2 linked regions of the Mus musculus genome follow. The protein of the gene in region 2 purifies or fractionates together with the protein of the main gene of each other region. This does not show direct contact. Links are inferred from orthologs where the notes say so. Each region holds a gene or a part of one and is shown on either strand. Other genes may lie near its edges.

Region 1 (10,507 bases), on a different chromosome or scaffold from region 2:
CTCCAAAATCAAAATATAAAATAAAACTGAAGCCTTATGCTTAATGTGTAAGTTCAATAGTCAACCAAATATAGCAAGCACAAAAAGATAAAACCAATTGGGGCGGGGGGGGGGTGTGTCTATATCTGTGATTTAAACTTCAGTGCTAATTTTTTTTAGAAAATCCATTAACTGTCTCCTTTATTTAGGGACCCATTACAAACTTGAGCAGAGCCAGGAGAAAAGGCTGATATGGTCATACAGATCTATTCAGGAGAAAAGACTGCTAGGGTCATATAGATCCATTCAGGAGCTTTGGGCAGAATTGTTGATTCCTAAGCTAGCCTGGGCTGTATACACCATTGACCCTGTCAGTGAACAAATATGAAACTGTTCACTAAAATATTCATTATTCTCTTTGATTCATAGTATAGTCCTTGAATAATCAGAGGATAGTCCTAAGAAAAAAATTTTAAATGCTTATATTATCCCACTTTCTGCCAGAAGTCCTGTAGATACACTCTATAGTAAAGGGAACTAAAGACAACTGGGAGGTGGCCGGGGGCGACCAACATTTTTTTCCTAATTTGTAAACACATAAAGTAGCTGTTTTGCAAGCATGAAGGCTGGTGTTTATATACCTAGCAGCCATGGAGGGCACAGCGCCCACCTGTGACCCCTCTCTCGATGATGGGATGATATGGTTAGCTGTCTAACCACAGCAGCAGGCTCTGGTGAGTCAGGTGGAGTGATCCGAGGCAAACAGTACCAACCTTAGGCCTGCACATACATGTGCACCCACTAACATGTAGACCTGCAAATTACATGCACTTAGCAGGTGTGCAGGAGAGGTGACTCGGTAAGTAAAGTGTAAGGAGAGAGAGAACCCCAAAAGCTGCCCCAATCTCTGTTAGGTGGGCTCTACACATCATACAGTGAGAAATAAGTGTGTAAAGGAATTACAGGTGATACACTATATAGGGAAAGTATATGTAATAGTGGTTATGTGCTCAGTAAATCTATATTGTAATCTATAATGGGAATCAGAAGGATGTTAATGTTGGGAAAGAAACCAGGTGTGTGACCGCAAACACAGTGACGGGTGGTGAGCGAGCGCCCTGTGCAGCAGACGCACTGTGCAGACACCACAGTGCGGCTCAGACTAGAGCGTGTGGAAGGCCCTCCCATCCCCAGGACCGCAGCCGGGGAAGAGAAGAACCCTGAGCACGGGAACTGCTGTGGAGGTTATTGCTGGTGATTGGACTCTGCTTTGCATTGTAGTTCACAGATCTTTCAGCTAATGATACCATTTGGAAAAAGAAAAAGCTGTCATGACTAACCTTTGCAACCGCTACTTAACTGTTCATTAATTTAGCAATTATAAAAACAAAACCATTTTCTTCTCAATTGAAAAACAGATATTCTGCCTCCACGGTGGCCTGTCTCCATCCATAGATACACTGGACCACATAAGAGCCCTGGATCGCTTGCAAGAAGTTCCACATGAGGTGATTTTCGAAGTTACTTCATTTATTTTGATTTTAAGGGAGAAAAAAGTGTAATCACATATGGGAAGGGTAACTCAATTAAGTATCCTAACTCACAGTGCACACATATTCTTTCTCCTTATCCAGGGCCCAATGTGTGATCTCTTATGGTCAGATCCGGATGACCGTGGCGGCTGGGGCATTTCTCCACGTGGTGCTGGCTACACATTTGGACAAGACATTTCTGAAACATTTAACCATGCCAACGGTCTCACACTGGTGTCTCGTGCTCACCAGCTTGTAATGGAAGTATGTACTTTTCCTGCTCTCGTGGTGTACGCATGCACCCGTCATAAGGCTTCATAATACCTTCAGTAGGGGCTGGAGAGATGGCTCAGCAGTTAAGAGCACATTGCTCTTCCAGAAGGCGCTCAGTAGAGACTTGAGCTCAGTGAGATGATGACTCCATGCTGCTTAGAGGAGCACACTGAGGAGTGTGCTTGCTGTGTGTGTCCTTGCTACATTTCACCAAGGAGGTTTGAAAGCTGTTTGTCCACTGCTGGTTCTATTCCGTGACCACTCAGTTGAGGTAGCAATTGCTGGATTTCTCCTGTTGTGTTAGTGTTGTCACTACGAAAGGAATAAACGAGAACGGAGTCCCTCTAACCAGCAAGTAGTGGCTTTAAGAAGGTAGAACAAACTTCACCAGCCTAGAGCAGGCGAGGAGTGGGGTAGGGGCAGGATGCAAAGCACATACACGAAGTGACATTAAACTTCATTATACTGGCAAGCACAGATGTCAGTGATGATAATATTTTTGGAGAAAAAATTTGACTAAGCTTTAACATTCCTAAAAGTCCTGAGACTCCAAAATTAGAAAATAATCAAATTTCAGCTATTTGAGGCAAAACTGAAACATTTAACATAACAAAGATGAGAATGGTGTGCTATGTGTCAAGTAAACACCACCCAACATCACGAGTGATGGAAGGCAGAGGCTCTGACACAGGTGACAATGTGATTGTCAAGATGGCTGGTTAGCATGGGCTCAGCTCTCTGGGAGAGCATATTCTAAGTTGGTATTTGCCTAATACGAGTTTCAAGCAAACTTAGTAGCAAACTTTAGAAGCCAGGCTCATTTCTATCATGTCTCAGCACTTGGGAGGCTGGGGCAATTGCAAGTTTGAGAACAGGGTAGTCTAAATAGCAAAATTCTTTCTCAAAATAAAATAAAATACTTAGCAAAGTTTATGAAGGAAAATGGGGAAGTTACTATGGTTTTCTGAGAAATTCAGTGTATATTCTAAGTTAAAATCTTAAGTGTAGGTTAAGAAAAGCTGTATGGTTACTGAGGTATATAATAGAATCTTGTACCTAATAAATGTTTAAAAGTCTGAACAGTTGCATAAACTTAGATTATAAAAGGTAACATAGCCACCGAAGTATTTGTGACTTGATCTGTCAAAATTGGATTTTATAATGAAACAATGACCTTTTTAATGTTGCAGGGATATAACTGGTGCCATGATCGGAATGTGGTCACCATTTTTAGTGCGCCCAATTACTGCTACCGTTGTGGGAACCAGGCTGCTATCATGGAATTAGATGACACTTTAAAATATTCATTGTAAGTAACTTTACATTTTAATTGTATGTAATGACTTTTAGAGGAAAATAGCCTTGGGAGCTGGAGAGGTGGCTCAGCAGCTCAGAGCACTTAACTACAGTCTAGTATGACTTCCATAGATACCTGCACACATGTGTGCATACACTCATACACACATGCATGTATGAAAAGAGACAGGAAGCCGGGCGTGATGGCACATGCCTTTAATCCCAGCACTCAGGAGGCAGAGGCAAGAGGATTTCTGATTTCGAGGCCAGCCTGGTCTACAGAGTGAGTTCCAGGACAGCCAGGGCTATACAGAGAAACCCTGTCTCAAAAAACCAAAAAAAAAAAAAAAAAAAAAAGAGCTCTGCTTATGACAGGGGAGGAGGAGGAGTGTGCGTGCAGACCCTCTTCCCCAACATTGAACTCAAGAACTTTCTGATGTGCAGCACTCGTAAACCATGGCCTCCTGCATTGCTAGGCCACTGCTGCAGAAAGTGGGGTTTTTTTTGTTTTGTTTTTTTTCAAGACAAAGTTTCTCTTTGTAGCTCTGGCTGTCCTGGAACTCACTCTGTAGACCAGGCTGGCTCCAAATTCACAGAGATCCACCCGCCTCTGCCTACAGTTTATTGAAACTTTCCCAAGAGCTTACAGCTAATAGAAAAACATTTAAGAGAACCATAAGCCGGGTGTGGTGGTACAAGTTCTTAATCCTAGCACTCTGGAGGCAGAAGCAGAGATGGGTTTGAGCCAGTCTGGTGTATGCTCTACATGAATTTCAGGACAGCAAGGACTACAGACATACCCTATCTTAGAAAGACAAACAAGACTCAGACAAAAAGAGGAACTGTAACCGCCCGGGGGCCTAGGAAGTGCCTTGGTGGCCAGCACGGCTGACCTTCCACGGATACCATCTTCATTCCCAGCGCTTACACTGCAGCTCACAACCACCTCTAGTTTCAGTTCCAGGGATCTGACATACATGTAACTAAAAGTCACTTATTTGGGGCTGGAGAGATGGCTCAGAGGTTAAGAGCACTGACTGCTCTTCCAGAGGTCCTAAATTCAATTCCCAGCACATGGTGGCTCACAACCATCTGTAATGGGAATCTGATGCCACCTTCTGGGGTGTCTGAAGACAGCTACAGTGTACTCGTATACATAAACAAACCTTTTTAAAAATTGACTTATTTTAGGTTTAATAAAGCCTTTACTACTGGGCGTTACGGCCTTCTTGGTACTCTGTTTATCCTAGCATACACGAAATCCTGGGTTCAAGCCCATCATTGTAAACTGGCCATGGTGATGCACGTATGTAATCCCAGGACTTGGGAAATGGAAGCAGGTTGGTTTGAGTCAAGGCCAGCCTGGAATACATGAAACCTGGTTTCAGAAACATTTGTCAAATAAAACACTTGCTATGTATGCATGGTGCTACTTGCATGCCTGTAATCCCAGTACTGACAAGGTAGAGCCAGGGAGATCAGGATTTCACAGCCTGTGCTGCGAGTTTGGGGCCACTGTAGGCTATATGAAACCACATCTCAACTACAGCGGCAAAAAATTGGGAATACATCCTGACTCCTGTGAGTGTTTGCGTATTACTATGGTTAGTTGCATCCTTTCAGGACTGTTGGAGAAGGAAAACACAAATAGCATTTATTTATCCCAAGACCACAGTGTTGATAAAAAAAAATAGGAAAAAGTCAGTGTACTAACATTAATATTAAAACACACACACAACAGACAAATAGCTATTTTGACAGAAAAGGCACTTGGTAAAATTCAGTGTTCTCTTCTGCTGGGCACAAACAGACGTGTACATTTTCACCATAGCTGTGAAGTGCTAACTGTGTGGTTGCTAGTGACGAATGAGTTCAGGGTCATCCCAGCCACGTGGGATGCAGCGTTGCTGAAAGCTACAGGAAGGAGGCTCAGTCTGTTCCGTCTTACTGGCTGGCTTACTTGCTGACCATTTTCTTTGTCATTTTTAGTCTTCAGTTTGACCCAGCACCTCGTCGTGGAGAGCCTCATGTGACCCGGCGCACCCCAGACTACTTCCTGTAAATTCCTCCCCAGGACCTGTCTTTGTATGTGGAAGTATACCTGGCTTTTTAAAATATATATATATACATATATATTTAAAAACAACAGTTATTTGTGTTTCTGTAACAAATTGTGATATGTCTTGACATTAAAACACATCATGGACCAAAACGTGCCATACTAATGATGAGCGGTTAGCACAATGTGAACTCTAGCACACTGTTGTAGATGAGTCAGCCCACAGCCTGCCTGCTGGGCGGTAGTGACCATTTTTCTTGACTGGTTAAGCAAAAAGGGTCACTGACTGCTTCGTCTCCTTTGCGCTTACTTGGAAATTTAGTTAACAAGTTTAACTGGCATGGATTATAGAGTTGGAGTTTTATTTTTTAAGAATTCACAAGCTGACTTCCACTTCAATTCATAATCCTTTATTTTATTGAAATGTATGACTAACTGAAGAAGAGATTCTTGGGAGTATGTTGTCATAACATTAAAGAGATTTCCTTTAAAGTTTCCTAAACTAAATTACTGTTGGATGTTGAGCTGCATATTTCTGTATATTTGTCATGACAGTGCTTGCATCCTATTTGGTGTACTGAACAAATAAAATTTCCGATTTAGAGAAAAACATTTTTTAACTGTGATGTACATTAAATGGAAGCATCGCCATTTTGAAACTTTATACAAATACTTAGAACTGTGGCTGGTTGTTTTTTAGACTTTGAATCTCCTTGATACTCCTGGCTCTCCTTCCGAGGGATAGAATTGCCAGTATGGGGCTCCTTGCTAGGCCACAGATATCTGCTGAGTAATAACAGTAGGCAGCTGTACTGACATATTCGCCTGGTGGGGTGTTCACCCCAGGCCTTATATTCAATTCCAAGTTATGTGCACAGGTACTGCAGAAGTAATGTTTGTTTATAGTTTACACTCAAAAGCAGAACAAAGTCAAAATACTGATAACTGTTAGACCACTGAAAAGGCGATTGTTGCATATCTAAGCATTTCATTAGGTGGTTCATATTAATTTATTCATAATTTTAAGTGCAAAATGTAGATTGCTTTAATAACTATATTCTAAATCTAACAGAAGGGACTTTAAAAGCTGAGCTAGGTTGTCTCCTTTAACCTAAAAACAGGAATTGGCCTGTTTATTTAGTAGCAGTGGTAATGATAGTATTCCAAGGTCATAAACACCAGCTCTAGGGTTTACTTAATATCTAGCTGTAGAATGATTGTTTTGGTTTGATTTGGTTTGGTGGTTTTTTCGAGACAGGGTTTCTCTGTGTAGCCCTGGCCATCCTGAGACTCCCTCTGTATGACCAGGCTGACTTCGAACTCAGAAATCCGCCTGCCTCTGCCTCCCGAGTGCTGGGATTAAAGGCGTGTGCATCCATGCCCAGCGGAAGTTATCTTTCTTAATCTTTAATTTTTAGAGAGGGTTTCATGTAGCCCAGGTAGCCTTGAACCCTCCTGATCCTCCTGCCCCCTTCCCAAGACCTAGGATTACCAGCTGAGCTTCTGCCCCCCAGTTTCGTTTCGGAAAACGAAAAAAAAAAAAAGATACCTTAAGACAGACTTAAGTTTTCAACCTCTGTAATACTGCAACCCTTTAATACATTGCCTCATATTGTGGTGACCCCCCAACCATAAAATTATTTTATTGCTACTTTATAAGCAATTTTGCTGCTGTTATGAATCATCAATGTAAATCTCATGCAGATGGTCTTAGGTGCACCCCTATGAACAGGTTATTTGAGCCCCACAGGACCCCACAGGTTGAGAGATGCTCTAAGGGCATCAATTTGTAGACAAACGACAGTTCACATTCCAAATGCACTTAACAACAATGGCCTTGTTTACTGTGGTTTCACTATGTTCCCCAAGGTTCATGGACCAGACCTCCATCCCCAGATCTAAGTCAAAACTATACAGGATCAGTTGGCTCTGGGAGTTCTTTAAGTTTTTAGAAATACAATAGAATGTCCCTTCATCCTCCTTAGATTCTGACTGAATTGTGAAATACTTTATGGTAAGGTAGACGCAAGCAGGAACCAGTTCTTATATGAGCTAGGGTTTGGTTTGGTTTGAAGATGGTCTAATTAACTCAAAAATTGTGGGAGTTGAGGCGTGTCCCACCATGCCCGGCTGAGGCTTGCATCCAGGTCTGTCTTACTCTTTTTACCTCCTTTCACATTATAATGACAGGCCACAGACCATCAGTGCAAAGCGGTCCTCATCCATGGGGTGTGGGCGGGGTGTGGGCGGGGTACACCTGTGGACGAGAGGAGCTCCAGGTGCATGGGGCTTGAATGAACACCGCCCTGTGGAAGGGCAGCAGGTGCTTCCAGCCTCTCTACTGGCTGCTCTGCTCTTTCTCTTCCACGTTAAGTACAGTGTCCACAGTTATTCCTATGTCCTCCAGTGACGAGCCTCCCTCCACTTCCAGGGCCCTTCTGGGAAAGGAATTGGAAAGTCTATATAGGGATTTGTGGTACCCAACTTTCATCATCCAGTCAAGTAAGACCTAAGAGGCAAAAAAAAAAAGAAGTATCAGACTGTACACTGTTCCTCCAGAATGTATCACTGTAGCACTGTATAGCTCTGTCATCCTGAAATCCAGTCCCTAGGAATTAAAAATCATTTCCATATCTTCCAAAGTAATCCTTTTACACTTTAATGTCTCTATTGCAGAGAATATGTGGGCCTACTGTCATGGTAGTAACAAAACCTAATCCATAAATGAGATGAAAAATACTTAGTAAAAATTTGAGACACCATTAATTCCAACACTTGGGAGGCAGAGGGATCTCTGAATTTGAGGCCAGCCCAGAGAAACCATGTCTTGAAAAAACAGCAACAAAGTTGAAAACAAAATATTTGGGAAAAATTTTGGATCAAAATCACCAAAAGCTTTGTCAAAATACATGTTTTGGCACCTGAGACAAAGTCCACTCACTATGGGCCATTCCTATAATTGTCCAGCACCACAGAAAAGAAAAAAATCACATAGTTATGAGAAACATTTTCCTGCCACATCCAGCTGAAATCATATTTGCCTCAACACATGACATTTTAAACAAAGCATGTTTTGCTTCAAAAACAACAGTAAACTGAGTGTGGTTGCTTCCATTATAGCTGTAGTGCCAAAGCTACGACTGGAGGATTACTGTAACCAAGTTACTGGGTTTGAGACAAACCCATGCAACAGCAAGATCTTGTGTCTCAACAACAAAAGCCTGATAAATGGCAGAGACATAATGTTCCCAGGGACTCTGAAGTATCAGATCATTCAACCAGAGCCTTATATTGCCAGCCACCAGGCAAGAATCCACTGCTGACCTATAGAATAAATCTGTCATCATTTTAACTAAGACAGTTTTGGAAGCGTTGGGAATTGAACCCCAGTTTTCTACACGTGCTGAGCACCCACTCTGCCACTTAGCTCACAGTAAGGTTACAGTTGCTTTGAGTCAGAGTCTGCCTAGCTGGCTCTGAACTCACAATCTTGCCCTGTGTCAGATCCACGACCCCTGCAGTGGAAGCATTATACTCATATTACACTGCGGCCCAATTTAAACTTTTTAAAATAAGAGGCCATGTGTGGCAGCTCATGCCTAGAATCCAGTCATTTGGGAAGCTATCACAGACACCAAGTTCAGGCCAGCCTCGACTACAGGGTAAGTGCTAGCTAGCCTCAGCAAAACCTAGTATCTTACCCACCAACGTAAATGTAGTAAACAACCAAAGAAATACAGCTCAGAGAATGCCTGCCTGAAGACTTAAGATTCTTTCCTAATATAAAAAATGAAGAAAGAAAATTGAAGGGGAAAACACAATGTTAATGTAGAGATCACAACTTAAACCCTCAGTCTGCAATGCAGAACCTTCACATTGTCTGTCTGTGTGGTCTTGTCTCCCACTGCATTTGAACACAATGTTGACAAATTTCATAAGACAATATTTCTGAAAACATTGGTTTCCTCACCTGTGAATTCCACGACTTGAAAAATCTTCTCCTCAGAACACGTCCATTTGGGCATCGAAGGGCAACAGTAACTACCTGTGGATTACAAATGTAAGCTACACTGGGCGTGGTGGCGCACACCTTTAATCCCAGCACTCGGGAGGCAGAGGCAGGCGGATTTCTGAGTTCAAAGCCAGCCAGGGCTATACAGAGAGACCCTGTCTTCGAAAACCCCCTTCCCCCAAAAAACAAACAAACAAAAAAAACAAACGTAAGCTACAGTGGTCACCCAGACCTATGGTCCACACAGGATGCCCAGGTAGGAAGATGCAAATCTGAGGCCAGCCTAAGTGACAAAGCAAGATCTCATCTCAGGAACAAGACAGAAGTCCAGATGGGAACTCTAGCTAGCCTGGGGATAAGGCTCAGCTGGTATAAGAGTGCCTAGCAACACAACGCCCTGGGTTCACTACCCACCACCCCATGCACCACACTGGAGAGAGCATCATGTGTACTATATGGATGCACCACCTGTCAATTTAAAAGCCATAGGGTCTATAGCTTGGGCAGGAAATGGAAATGGAGGGTAGAGCACCCAGGAGACAAAGGATTCTGGGATAGAGCCAGACTGGCTATCCACCTGGGATGAGGTAAGGAGAAGGATGCATGGTAGCTGAATGCAGTCACGTGACAGAATGTAGGTTAAAATAATTGGGTTATTTTAGCTATGATCTACTCAGAGTAGAGCCTAGCTGTATGGCCAAGGTATATATAAATATACTTTTGAGTCTGAGTCTTATTTCTGAGAGCATGTGGCTAGGAAGAAGAACCAGGACCTAACTCTATACCACATATGGTGGTACAAGCAGTTCCTTCCTAGCTGCAAAGGTAGAGCCAAGAGGACCAGACGCTCAAGATGATCTGCAACTACACAGTGGGTCTGAGGACATCCTTGACTACATGAAACTACCTCAAAAAAAAAAAAAATGTGTAAGTAGGTAGAAGAGATGGTTACGCACACTGGCTGATCTCCCAGAAGACCCAAGTTCAATTCCCAGCACCTACATAGCAGCTGACAAACTAACCCCAACCCTAGGGTTATGATGCACTCTTTGGACATGCACAGGTGTGGTGGTTTGAATAGTTAGCCCCATAGACGCATGTGTTTGAATGCTTGGCCATAGGGAGTGATACTAGTAGGAGGTGTGGCCTTGTTAGAGGAAGTGTGTCACTACACTCAGTGACACAGTCTTCTGTTTTCTATGAATCAAGATGTAGAACTCTCAGCTCCATCTCCAGTACCATGTCTGCCTGGATGCTGCCATGTTTCCCACCACGATGATAATGGACTAAACAGGGCTGGAGCGATGGCTCTGGTTAGGAGCACTGACTGCTCTTCCCAAGATCAAATCCCAGCGA
Region 2 (10,407 bases):
TTATCCTGACAGTGCTTCATGGCTGCACAGGGACAGCAGCTGCTAAACCACAGGGCCATCTTTCCGTGTCTTAGGGTTAAAATCAGGTTTTGGCATTGGAACTGTGGTTCTCCTCCCTGTAGTCAGGGTCTCTGCATTTCACCTCCTGTTTTCCACTCCACCGGGTCGGCTCTGCCCTCCTTCCTGTAATCCTGCCAGGCCTGCTTTGACCTCAGTAGCTTACTCTGAGTAGTGTTGTTTTCCTTTCCAGGGGGCTTAGGGCAGTGGAATCTTTAGGCCATTCTGGTTCATATTTGTCAGGTTTGAGTAAACTCTGGGGATACAGAATGAGTTATAGTCTGGGAAGACAGATTCAGACACCCCTCTGCTCTCCAGGGTCTCAGGGGCCATTTCTCCTATTACAGCCATCCCCTACCACATGCATGGATGTTTACATCTTAGCCAGGAAGGGAGAAAGTCCAAGGGCTCCTCCCTCACATTTTTGTTGGTTTGAGATTTAGGCTAGCCTAGAGCTTACTGAATCTTGAGACCCTCCTGCCTCAGCTTTCTAAGGACTGGTATTACAAGTATGCACTGCCACTCGTGGCGGAGCGCGCCCCGGCCCCCTGTCTTACTCTCTTATGAGCTGGTTCTTGTGCTCAGGGTCCTGCTCAACATCATGTACCTGATTGTGGAGACTGTTCACCAGGATTGTGATGGGGACAAGGCCGAGTGGAGAACCATGCGACAGACCTTCAGAGCTGAGCTAGGTAGGACCCTGGCCATCCTCTCTTAAGGCCTTGCTTGGGAACTGAAACTAGAGGGCTTTGGGTGGGTTCTGTTGCTGCCTGGGGTCCTGATATCTTTGAGTCACTTCCAGGTTCCCCTCTGTACAACAACGAGCCATTTGCCATCATGCTATTTGGGATGGTGACCAAATTTTGCAGTGGCCATGCCCCCCACTTCCCCATGAAGAAAGTTCTCTTGCTGCTCTGGAAGACTGTATTGGTGAGCACCTTCTTGGGGGCACTCGTATGCTAGGACACTGGGCAGGAAGGAGACATCTTTGTACAGTTGGCCTCTATATGCATCCAAATTCAGGTCATAGAATGAAGTTTGCATCTGTATTGACTGTACGGACCTTGTTGTTATTCTCTAACCAGTGTACCAATAATTTATGTACCATTAGGTATTAGAAATAGTCTAGGGATGATCTCATGCTTGCAGAAGGTTGTGCATAGGTAACCACAAGTTCCATTCCATCCACTGAGGGATGTGATAGCTACCTGTGGGAGGGGGTGAGGGGAAATTCCCAGAGCCAGTCTCCAGTGGATAATGACGAGTATCTATATTTCTATTTGAATACTGAATTATGTGACTATGTAGCTACTTGGGTTTAAAAGTATTTGTTTAGTGGTATTACAGACTGAACCTAGGACCTTGTCGTGCATGCTAGGCAAACAGATTTCACTGAGCTACGGTGCTGGAGTGCTTCTTCTTCTTCTTTTTTTAAATTTATTTATTTTAATTTTATGTGCACTGGTGTTTTCTGTGTGAAGATGCCAGATCCCCTGGAACTGGAGTTACAGACGGTTGTGAGCTGCTGTTGCTGGGAATTGAACCCAGGTCCTCTGGAAGAGCAGCCAATGTTCTTAACCACTGAGCCATCTCTCCAGCTCACCCACTGGCGCTCTTTTTACATTTTATTTATTTGCATATTTCCTGTGCATGTGGGTATGTATTTGGTACACGTGTAGTCTGTGCCTACACTTGTGTAGCTGTACACACTTCAGAGGAGACACGAGAGCCCTGCTCTGTCATTCTTGGTTGTATTCCATTACCACAGGGTCTCTATTGGAACCTGATCCTAGGCTGGCATCCGGCAAGCACTCCTAGAAGTCTCACTGTTTCTACCCAGCTCTGTTGGGGTTACAATCTTACATGCGGCTTATCTGGCTTTTTGCATGAACACTGGGAATTCAAACGCATACCCTCATCTTTTCGAAACAAGTGCTCTTACCCATTGAGCCATTGTCTCAGTCATTTACCTTTTTTTTTGACAGAAGGTCTGACCTTAAACTTGAGGTATTCCTGCCTCAGCCTTGTCAGTATCTGCTACTAAGCTCAGTGAGTCTGAGGCCAGCAAAGGCTACATGGCAATAAGACCTTGTCTCAAAAAAGGCTGGGGGTTGGAGGCGGGCCTTCAAGATACTAGATTGGCTCCCTGGCTTTTGTTAAAGCTGTTTTCTCAATCGTGCAACAGCTTCACCCTCAGATAAGATGCCTCTTTGGAGACCACTCCTAAACTTGTATTTGTATAGTGGTTTGGGGCAACAAAACTCCACTAGGCAGATGACTTTTGCTACTTGAGTTGTGATCCTAGCCTTGAACATTGGAGCTCTTTCTCCAACCCTAAGAAGATGACTTTTAAAGGAAGCAAGAGTGAGCCTAGGTGGTCTGTTTCCTGAGGATGTGTTGTGAAATGGACTCTGTTTCTGCCTGGGGAGAGAATGGTTGCTGGGTGTCTGGCCATCATACTTAGGATGGGGACATTGTCAGAAACCAGGCCCCGGGCAAGCCTGGAGCCCTGTCTCCAGGAGGAGCGCTGTGCTCAGCACCCAGTTAGAGCCTCATAGGGTGTGCAGGCTTTATCTTGACCAGACCTACTGGTTCCTCAGGAAGCCTCACTCCGGCAGAGAGGACAGCCGAGTTACTCGAGTGGAGGCACTGAGTGGCCAAGGACTCCAGCCTAGGGCCTGGGCTCCTAGTGAGGACGTTAGACCGCTTTCTATTTTACTTTGCTATATTATTTCATTTGAGCTACACACAGTAAGTTTTAGTCTTATTGGAAGATTGACGTGTAGTTTTGAGGCACTAGTCTGCTGACGTTTGAAAGAACTGGCTCTACTTTGTTTGTTTGTTTGTTTGGTTGGTTGGTGGTTGGTTTAAAACATGGTCTCTCTATAGCCTTGGCTTGCCTAGAACTTGCTATATATGCTAGGCCGGACTTAAAATTATGGTGATCCTCCTGCTGGGATTACCAGTCTGTGCCACCACCCCATGCTTAACTTGCTTCTTTTTAAAATTAGAGACTATGTCACATCCAGAGCTGTGTATCATGCGCCAGCTCCCATCAGCCAGTATTTCATTCTTTCCTTCATCCTTTTGCTCTTGTCCCTTATAGAGAACTCGGGACTCTCCTTAAAGACTTTAGTTTTTATCCAAGTGGCTGTATGGGTCTCTATAAAGGCTTGGGTTCTCGTGATGTCATGCATGCTTTTTAGAATAATGATACCAAAAAGGACATGGCGACCTAAGTTCTGCACCCCATTTTACGCAGTGCACGCTGGGCGGCTTTGAGGAGCTGCAGAGCATGAAGGCTGAGAAGCGCACTCTCCTGGGCCTTCCCCCTCTGCCTGAGGACAGCATCAAGGTCATCCGGAACATGAGGGCTGCCTCCCCACCAGCCTCTGCCTCAGACCTGATTGAGCAGCAGCAGAAGCGGGGCCGACGGGAGCACAAGGTGAGGCATCTCAGAGTACACACTCAGGGAGTGGGGTCGGGGCACATGATTCCTGGGCCAGCAGGTTATGAGAAGCCAGCTCCGATCAAGCTGATCAGGAGGCGTGCCTCCACAGCAGGGACACTGTCCCCAGCCTCAGCCCCAGTGTATAGCGGATACTTAACATCAGGGCAGCTTCTGAGGTTCTCTTCATTCTAGTCCTAAATCCTCCGTATTCCCTGCTGTTGTCAGGTCCCCATCTGAGATGGGTCTGTTCCATTTGAACTCTGTTCCTCGTCACCATCTCATTGGTTGGCTGCTTTTCTCAGCTCTTCTCTGTGCTTTCAGGCTCTGATAAAGCAGGACAATCTAGATGCCTTCAACGAGCGGGATCCCTATAAGGCTGACGACTCTCGGGAGGAGGAAGAGGAGAATGATGACGACAGCAGCCTGGAGGGGGAGGCTTTTCCCCTGGAGCGAGACGAGGTGATGCCTCCCCCACTACAGCACCCTCAGACTGACAGACTCACCTGCCCAAAAGGGCTCCCTTGGGCTCCCAAAGTTAGGTGAGTCTCAGTTCTAGAATATTCTTGAAGTGAGAGCCTTCATATCCTAGGTCAGTGTTGGCCTGGAGTCCTCTGCAAGGCTAAGATGACCTTAAGTTACCATGTGCTGTCCTGGGCACATCTGTGAGGACGGCCTTGCTGATGTCACACAGGATAGATAACCCTTGTGTGGTTCCTGTGTCAGTAATTTGAACTGGTCCAACTTGATAGTGAACAAAGGCAAGGAGAAAAAAATGAGTATTTAGGCAAACCTATCCCCATTCATCTTGGAGCTGTATGTGGCCTTTTATTTAAAAATGATAGATGGAGAATTTTTTAAAAACCCAATGTATTAAACAGTATGCTTGGGGGAGTTAATAGATGGGAAGGTAGCAGGAACTGTTAAAATGGTATATTGTAGCTGGGCATAGTGGCACACGCCTTTAATCCTAGCACTAGAGAGGCAGAGGCAGAGGCAGGTGGATGATGTCTGTGAGTTCCAGGCCAGTTGGTCTACAAAGCAAGTCCAGGACAACCAGGGCTACACAGAGAAACCTTGTTTTGAAAATAAAACCATCAAAAAAGAAGTATATTTGGTAGGCAGCAACTTAATAAAGAGATGTGTATATGAACTGATATAAAAGAGGGTATGTCCTGAGCTTTCTATGTTGTGTGAGAAGAATGTTTCTGTTGAGACAAGAAAATGACCTGTTTAAAGTTAGTAGCTTATGTCTCTTACACTTCATGGTGTTTAAATACTACTATTGTTTAAATAAGTGTTAAATACTACTATTGTTTAAATAAGTTGTGCTTTAAGTTTTATATATGTCCCTAATTTTGAGTCAACTGGCCATATGTATTATAGAAATATAAACATACTTTAATTGTATGAACCTAACAAAATTATGTAAAAAAACAAAGTAGTCAAAATTCAGGTTTTCCCACTTACTGTAAGAGACCTTTTCCTGTCTTGTAAACACCTGGAGATGCTTTGTCTGTTTGAACACAGGCCTGTGACTGGCACACCTTGAAGCAGTACTTGATAAAATCTGCCCCTCTTTCTTGCTTGGTAGAGAGAAAGACATTGAGATGTTCCTTGAATCCAGCCGCAGCAAGTTCATAGGCTACACTCTAGGAAGGTGAGTGTGACCTGAGGCCTCTTTGAAGTGCCCTTGCCTGGCCTTGGGGCAGCGGACCGGTGAGTGGCTCTCTGGGCTCAGCATAAGGCCTTCTTTATTCTCCAGTGACACCAACACAGTGGTGGGGCTGCCAAGGCCAATCCACGAAAGCATCAAGACATTGAAACAAGTAAGTGGCACTAAGGGAACGTTTGGCTTTGTTTGGTCCCAGGAGAATAAAGTGAGCCTGGGCCAAGGGAGAAGCCTTTCAGGGCTATTGTCTGCCAGCAAGAGCCTGGGAAGCATCTCTTCCTACGTCTGACTTCGGTTACAGATATGTGTGTCCCAGGCTTTAGAGTTCAGGGAGCCCACGAGGTATAAGGCAATTGAGAGGCACTGGCGGATGGATATGGTGCTGTCAGCTTTGCTGGTTATAGCATGGCTGGAGAGCAAGGCTTAAGAGCACCATAGTGGGTGTGCTCTAGCATACTCTATAAACCAAGCAAGCTCAGTTTCCCAGGCCCAGAGAGCTGGAGTGGAGGGCAGACAGGACCCAGGCTCTCAGCAGGCAGGCAGGTGGAGTCCCAGACCATCCTGTTTTCCTCTTGTGCTCACTGCTGAGAGGGAGCTGAGGGAGCTGTGGGTGTGAGGATTAGCGGAGAGACGACCCCAGGGGTCAGGAGGCTTTCCAGTGTGTCTAAACTGTAACATTTTAAAGTCCAGTTTTGAAATTGGTAGTACCAGGTGGTCTCTGCACTAGGCTTTTAAGAATACAGTTAGTTTTGCCTCTGATATCTTTCTCCTGTCATTTTTTAAAAAAGATTTTATTTATTATTATATGTAAGTATACTGTAGCTGTCTTTAGACACACCAGAGGAGAGCATCAGATCTTATTATGGATGGTTGTGAGCCACCATGTGGTTGCTGGGATTTGAACTCAGGACCTCTGGAAGAGCAGTCAGTGCTCTTAACCACTGAGCCATCTCTCCAGGCCCCCTCCTGTCGTTTTTGCTTCTGAAAGCCCTTTCCACTTTATTTTGCTTTTTTGCTAACCTCTATGGGCGCTTTTCACACAGGCTTTTTTGTCAGAAGTAGATTGCAGGTTTAAGTTAGGAATCTTTGTTGTGACTTAGCCCTCTCTCAGAAGGCCAAAATAAACTCTTGGGTCTTTGCCAGGTGAGGGGGGAGTCTGGCCAGAGAAGAGGGGTGTCTTTCCTCAGCACCTTCTTTCCTGCCTCTCTCTCCAGCACAAGTATACATCAATCGCAGAGGTCCAGGCACAGATGGAGGAGGAATACCTTCGCTCTCCTCTCTCAGGGGTGAGTTAAGAGACCACAAAGTCCCCAACTGCTCTCAGTCTCTGAGCCGGGCCTGGCCACAAGGCTGCTCCAGGAGTCGGCCTCTCCTTGAATAGATTGCCATCCATGTCTTCCTTTCAGTCTGTGAATGGCACCTTGAACATAAAACTCAATCTCTCTGTGCTTTGTTTCCTACCTGTAAAAGAAGACCAGCGCTAGACTAAGGCCGTCTCTCTCTCTTATCTACTTATTAATTTGAGATATCATCTATCTGTAGCCCAGATGGCCTCAAACACCTTTCCCAACCTTACCGGTGCTGGGTTACAAGTGTTTGCTAGCATGCATGACTGTGGTACCTCATGAAGAATTAGTTAAATGATTCCGGGTGACATTCTTGGGATGTCATATGTTTCAGAGCCTCCTGTCAGTATCACCAACATCACCCTTCACTTTGATACTTAGAGATTCTATTCCAGCCAGCTAGTAAACTGCCTCAGGGGACTGTAGCCTGAGCATGGGTTGTGTGACTTTTGTGTTAAAGGGAGAAGAGGAAGTTGAACAAGTTCCTGCAGAAACCCTCTATCAAGGCTTGCTCCCCAGCCTGCCTCAGTATATGGTGAGTTCTCTGTGTCTGAGACCGCGAAGGAGCACGGGCTGCTCTCCTTCCTTCAGCCTGCAAGGCTCCTGCCACCTGAGGACCCTCAGGAGTCCCACTTCTCAGGGCATCGTTGTGGTCCTAGGTTCTGATGCTCACCTGAGTGGTCTATTTTTCCCAGATTGCCCTTCTGAAGATCCTACTGGCAGCAGCTCCCACATCGAAAGCCAAAACAGACTCCATCAACATCCTGGCAGATGTTCTGCCCGAGGAGATGCCGTGAGTGTCAGGGCCATGAGTGGAACAGGTTGAAGCAAGGGTGGAAGGGTGGGGCCAGGAGTTTTCAGGTGAGTTGCCTTCCTTGACCCAGCTTTGCTGCAGGTGAAGTTTAGGGTATTTCTGATTCAGACAAAGGAATCAATTGGATAAGTTTCACTAGTAAGGGAGATGGCTAGGCCTGATGCCAACACAGATTGTCACTGAGTGAATTTCTAAGTGAATTAGGTATGCTGGTTTTTCTTTGTAAATAGATGGGCAGTAGACTCTCTCAGAGCCCTTATTCTAGAGCTGTGTGGTTGGCACACCTTGCATAGGATGGTTAGCTCCTGGTCAGTTTGCTTGCCACCACCGAGCCTGTGCCTTTGTGGAGTTTCTCCCACTGGCCAGTCAACTGGCAGGTAGACCCCTGGCAAATGTCTCAGAGGAGAAAGTGAAACTCTTAGCTGTTGTTCTTCCTCTCTGGCTGAAAGGTCTTTTCGTGGAAGAGAACAGCCTGAGGTCATATTCTGCATTGAGGACAGACTCAGGCCCACACCTGATCTGTTGCTTGCCAGGGCTGCCTTGTTCTGAGCTGATCTCCAGGTCTGGTGGTCATAGTGGTGGTATCCAAGTGAGGGAGAGGCAGGGATTGGCTCATACCAGAGGGAGGTTCACAGAACATTAGGCCATCTTGATAATCCCAGAAATACTGTGTTTCTTCTGAAGATTTGCAGTGAGAAGTCCTGAATTAAGAAACAGGTATAATTCAGTGCTTCCTAAATCTAACTTCAGCACCCCCACCCCGCCACTGTAGAGTGGAATTTCCCCACATACTGGTGTTCCACAGAATATACTTTGGGGAACTCAGGTTAATAGAGTGGCCAAAGCTTAGGGAGAGTTTGGAAAAGAAAAGAAGTTCAGTTTTGGAGGAGAAGCAGAGAAAGGGACTGAGTGTGTATTGGCGAGATGAAAGAAGCTGTTCCCGCTGGATCACTTGGGAGATAGAACCCTAAGGCTGGCCTCCGAGGTGTCTGTGGATCGTAGGCCTTTGCCAGAGGGTTCTGAAGCCCATCTCCTCTGTGGACACCTGGGAAGGAGGTACTGTGTGCTGGTAACTCACCCAGGCGCTTGTGTTCCTAGCACCACAGTACTGCAGAGCATGAAGTTGGGGGTGGATGTGAACCGCCACAAAGAGGTCATCGTTAAGGCCATTTCTGCCGTGCTGCTGCTGCTGCTCAAGCACTTTAAGTTGAACCACATCTACCAGGTACCTGCAGGATCTGCCTTCCTTCCTGTGCGCTGGGCGGGGCCTCTGGCAGTGCAGCTCCCCTAGCCCAGAGAGTAGGGCTTCACTTCCGAGCCCACTTGACCTCTGCACAGCATTCTAACACGAGGGCCTCCAGCCAAGGCTTTTTATCTCTAGACAAAAGAGAACCAGGGCTGTGCTTATTTTTCTTCTGTTGGTTTCAGTTTGAATACATGGCCCAGCACCTGGTATTTGCCAACTGCATCCCTTTGATCCTGAAGTTCTTCAATCAAAACATCATGTCCTACATCACTGCCAAGAACAGGTGATAAGGACCAGAGACCAAGAAAGGGTGGTGTAGACAGGTGGCAAGACTTCCAGCTGCCTCTCCACTGAGACTATTGAACAGACTTTTTCTTTAAACATCTATCTACCAGGCCTCAAAAAAGACATAATGAATGACAGAGTGTCAGTTATGGGATTAGCTACGCTAGTGACCAGGAGGCTCTCACCCTAGGCTCTGTAATTGCCACTTCTATCCTTCCTCCCTTTCTGCTTCCAGGTCTCTGTACAGAGCTTGGCTTTGTGTACTGTAAAGCCTTCTCTGATGATTCTCGTGGACTCTTCACAGCCTCCTTGTACCCACTGTACCCGGTAGCACCTGCTTGTCAGTGTGAGACATCACAAGGGAATCCAGTTAGCTGTGGCCTCTAAGAGGGCTTGGCATAAATCATTTGTCTCTAGTCCTACCTCCCAGATTCATGTGAAGGGAAAAGCTGCAATAGTGTCTCCACCCCTCACAGTTAGTAATTACATTACAAGCTTTTTGAGTCACAGAGCAACTGTACATACCATCTTATAGCAGGTATTTCTTCATCTTATAGTCAGGGAAACCAGGTTAGAGCAAGCGAGGTACATTGCTCCTTCTTCTTCAGCTCATCACGTCTGCTCTGGCAGACCCAGCCTTTGCTCACAGTGAGCACCTGGTCTTTTTGCATTCTGTAGCATTTCCGTCTTGGATTACCCTCACTGCGTGGTGAACGAACTTCCAGAGCTAACTGCAGAGAGTCTGGTGAGTGGCCCAGATCTCCCTGCCTACCCCTTTGGTATGAGCATTCCCTCCCCCAACACAAAGAGGTGTCTTCCAGAAGAGGTCACCTTTGGCTTTTAAAGTACCAGAAATGGCCATAGAGTCAGGGAGAGGACGCTGCGGAGCAGAACGATTGGGGATTGGCTGTGTGGTTAGTCAGGGCTGCTCACCTAGGATTTGCCCACTCAAGCTGCCTACATCTTCCCACTGAAGTCCGGGGCATTCTGTGACAGAATCATTGAAATCAGTCAAGGCCTTTGGACACTGCTGCTGAGCAGCCTGCAGTCGTGATAGTTGTGTTTGTCTCTGGCTTTTCCCTGCAGGAAGCTGGTGACAACAACCAGTTTTGCTGGAGGAATCTCTTTTCTTGCATCAATCTGCTTCGGATCTTGAACAAGCTAACCAAGTGGAAACACTCGAGAACCATGGTGAGTTGGTGCTGCAGCCAGCCTGGGCCATGCCGTGCCCGCCTCACCTGGGACGTGGTCCTCAGGGTGGGGCTTCCCAGGCAGCATCGTCCTCGTTCAGGTCTGCAGACTTCTGGTTCTCTGATGAGTACAACCAGAAGCTGGAAGAGACTCTCAGGCATGCCCTGAAACAAACCCTCAACCACAGACACTTTCTGATCTTTCTGATCCTGGGTGGGAAGTGATGGGCAGGAGTCAGGAGCCACCTTAGCCCTGCAATGCTTTGGAACAAGGAAGGTCCATGAGTTCTCAGAGATTAGATTACAGAGTGAGCCATAATTAGGGTTGCAACCTTAGTGGTTTGCTATA

Evidence for each region.
Region 1: the proteins of Strip1 (region 2) and Ppp2cb purify together in Homo sapiens (affinity purification with mass spectrometry; 6 studies listed by BioGRID and IntAct, counting the BioPlex papers as one, with this or other methods). This does not show direct contact. The link is inferred for Mus musculus from reciprocal best matches to the Homo sapiens genes STRIP1 and PPP2CB.

The regions. Positions count from the first base shown.
Region 1 is NC_000074.6:33,614,053-33,624,559, forward strand, and holds the end of Ppp2cb (serine/threonine-protein phosphatase 2A catalytic subunit beta isoform), read left to right. Parts: intron 1-1,397; coding exon 1,398-1,487; intron 1,488-1,613; coding exon 1,614-1,775; intron 1,776-2,974; coding exon 2,975-3,093; intron 3,094-5,069; coding exon 5,070-5,142; 3' UTR 5,143-5,752; downstream 5,753-10,507. Other genes in the region: Ubxn8 (UBX domain-containing protein 8), read right to left, coding at 7,478-7,648, 9,110-9,184.
Region 2 is NC_000069.6:107,614,967-107,625,373, reverse strand, and holds part of Strip1 (striatin-interacting protein 1), read left to right. Parts: intron 1-642; coding exon 643-749; intron 750-859; coding exon 860-987; intron 988-3,319; coding exon 3,320-3,502; intron 3,503-3,829; coding exon 3,830-4,047; intron 4,048-5,099; coding exon 5,100-5,165; intron 5,166-5,270; coding exon 5,271-5,334; intron 5,335-6,391; coding exon 6,392-6,463; intron 6,464-6,983; coding exon 6,984-7,058; intron 7,059-7,218; coding exon 7,219-7,316; intron 7,317-8,435; coding exon 8,436-8,562; intron 8,563-8,765; coding exon 8,766-8,866; intron 8,867-9,546; coding exon 9,547-9,613; intron 9,614-9,954; coding exon 9,955-10,059; intron 10,060-10,407. UniProt on the Homo sapiens protein: Plays a role in the regulation of cell morphology and cytoskeletal organization. Required in the cortical actin filament dynamics and cell shape. Part of the striatin-interacting phosphatase and kinase (STRIPAK) complexes.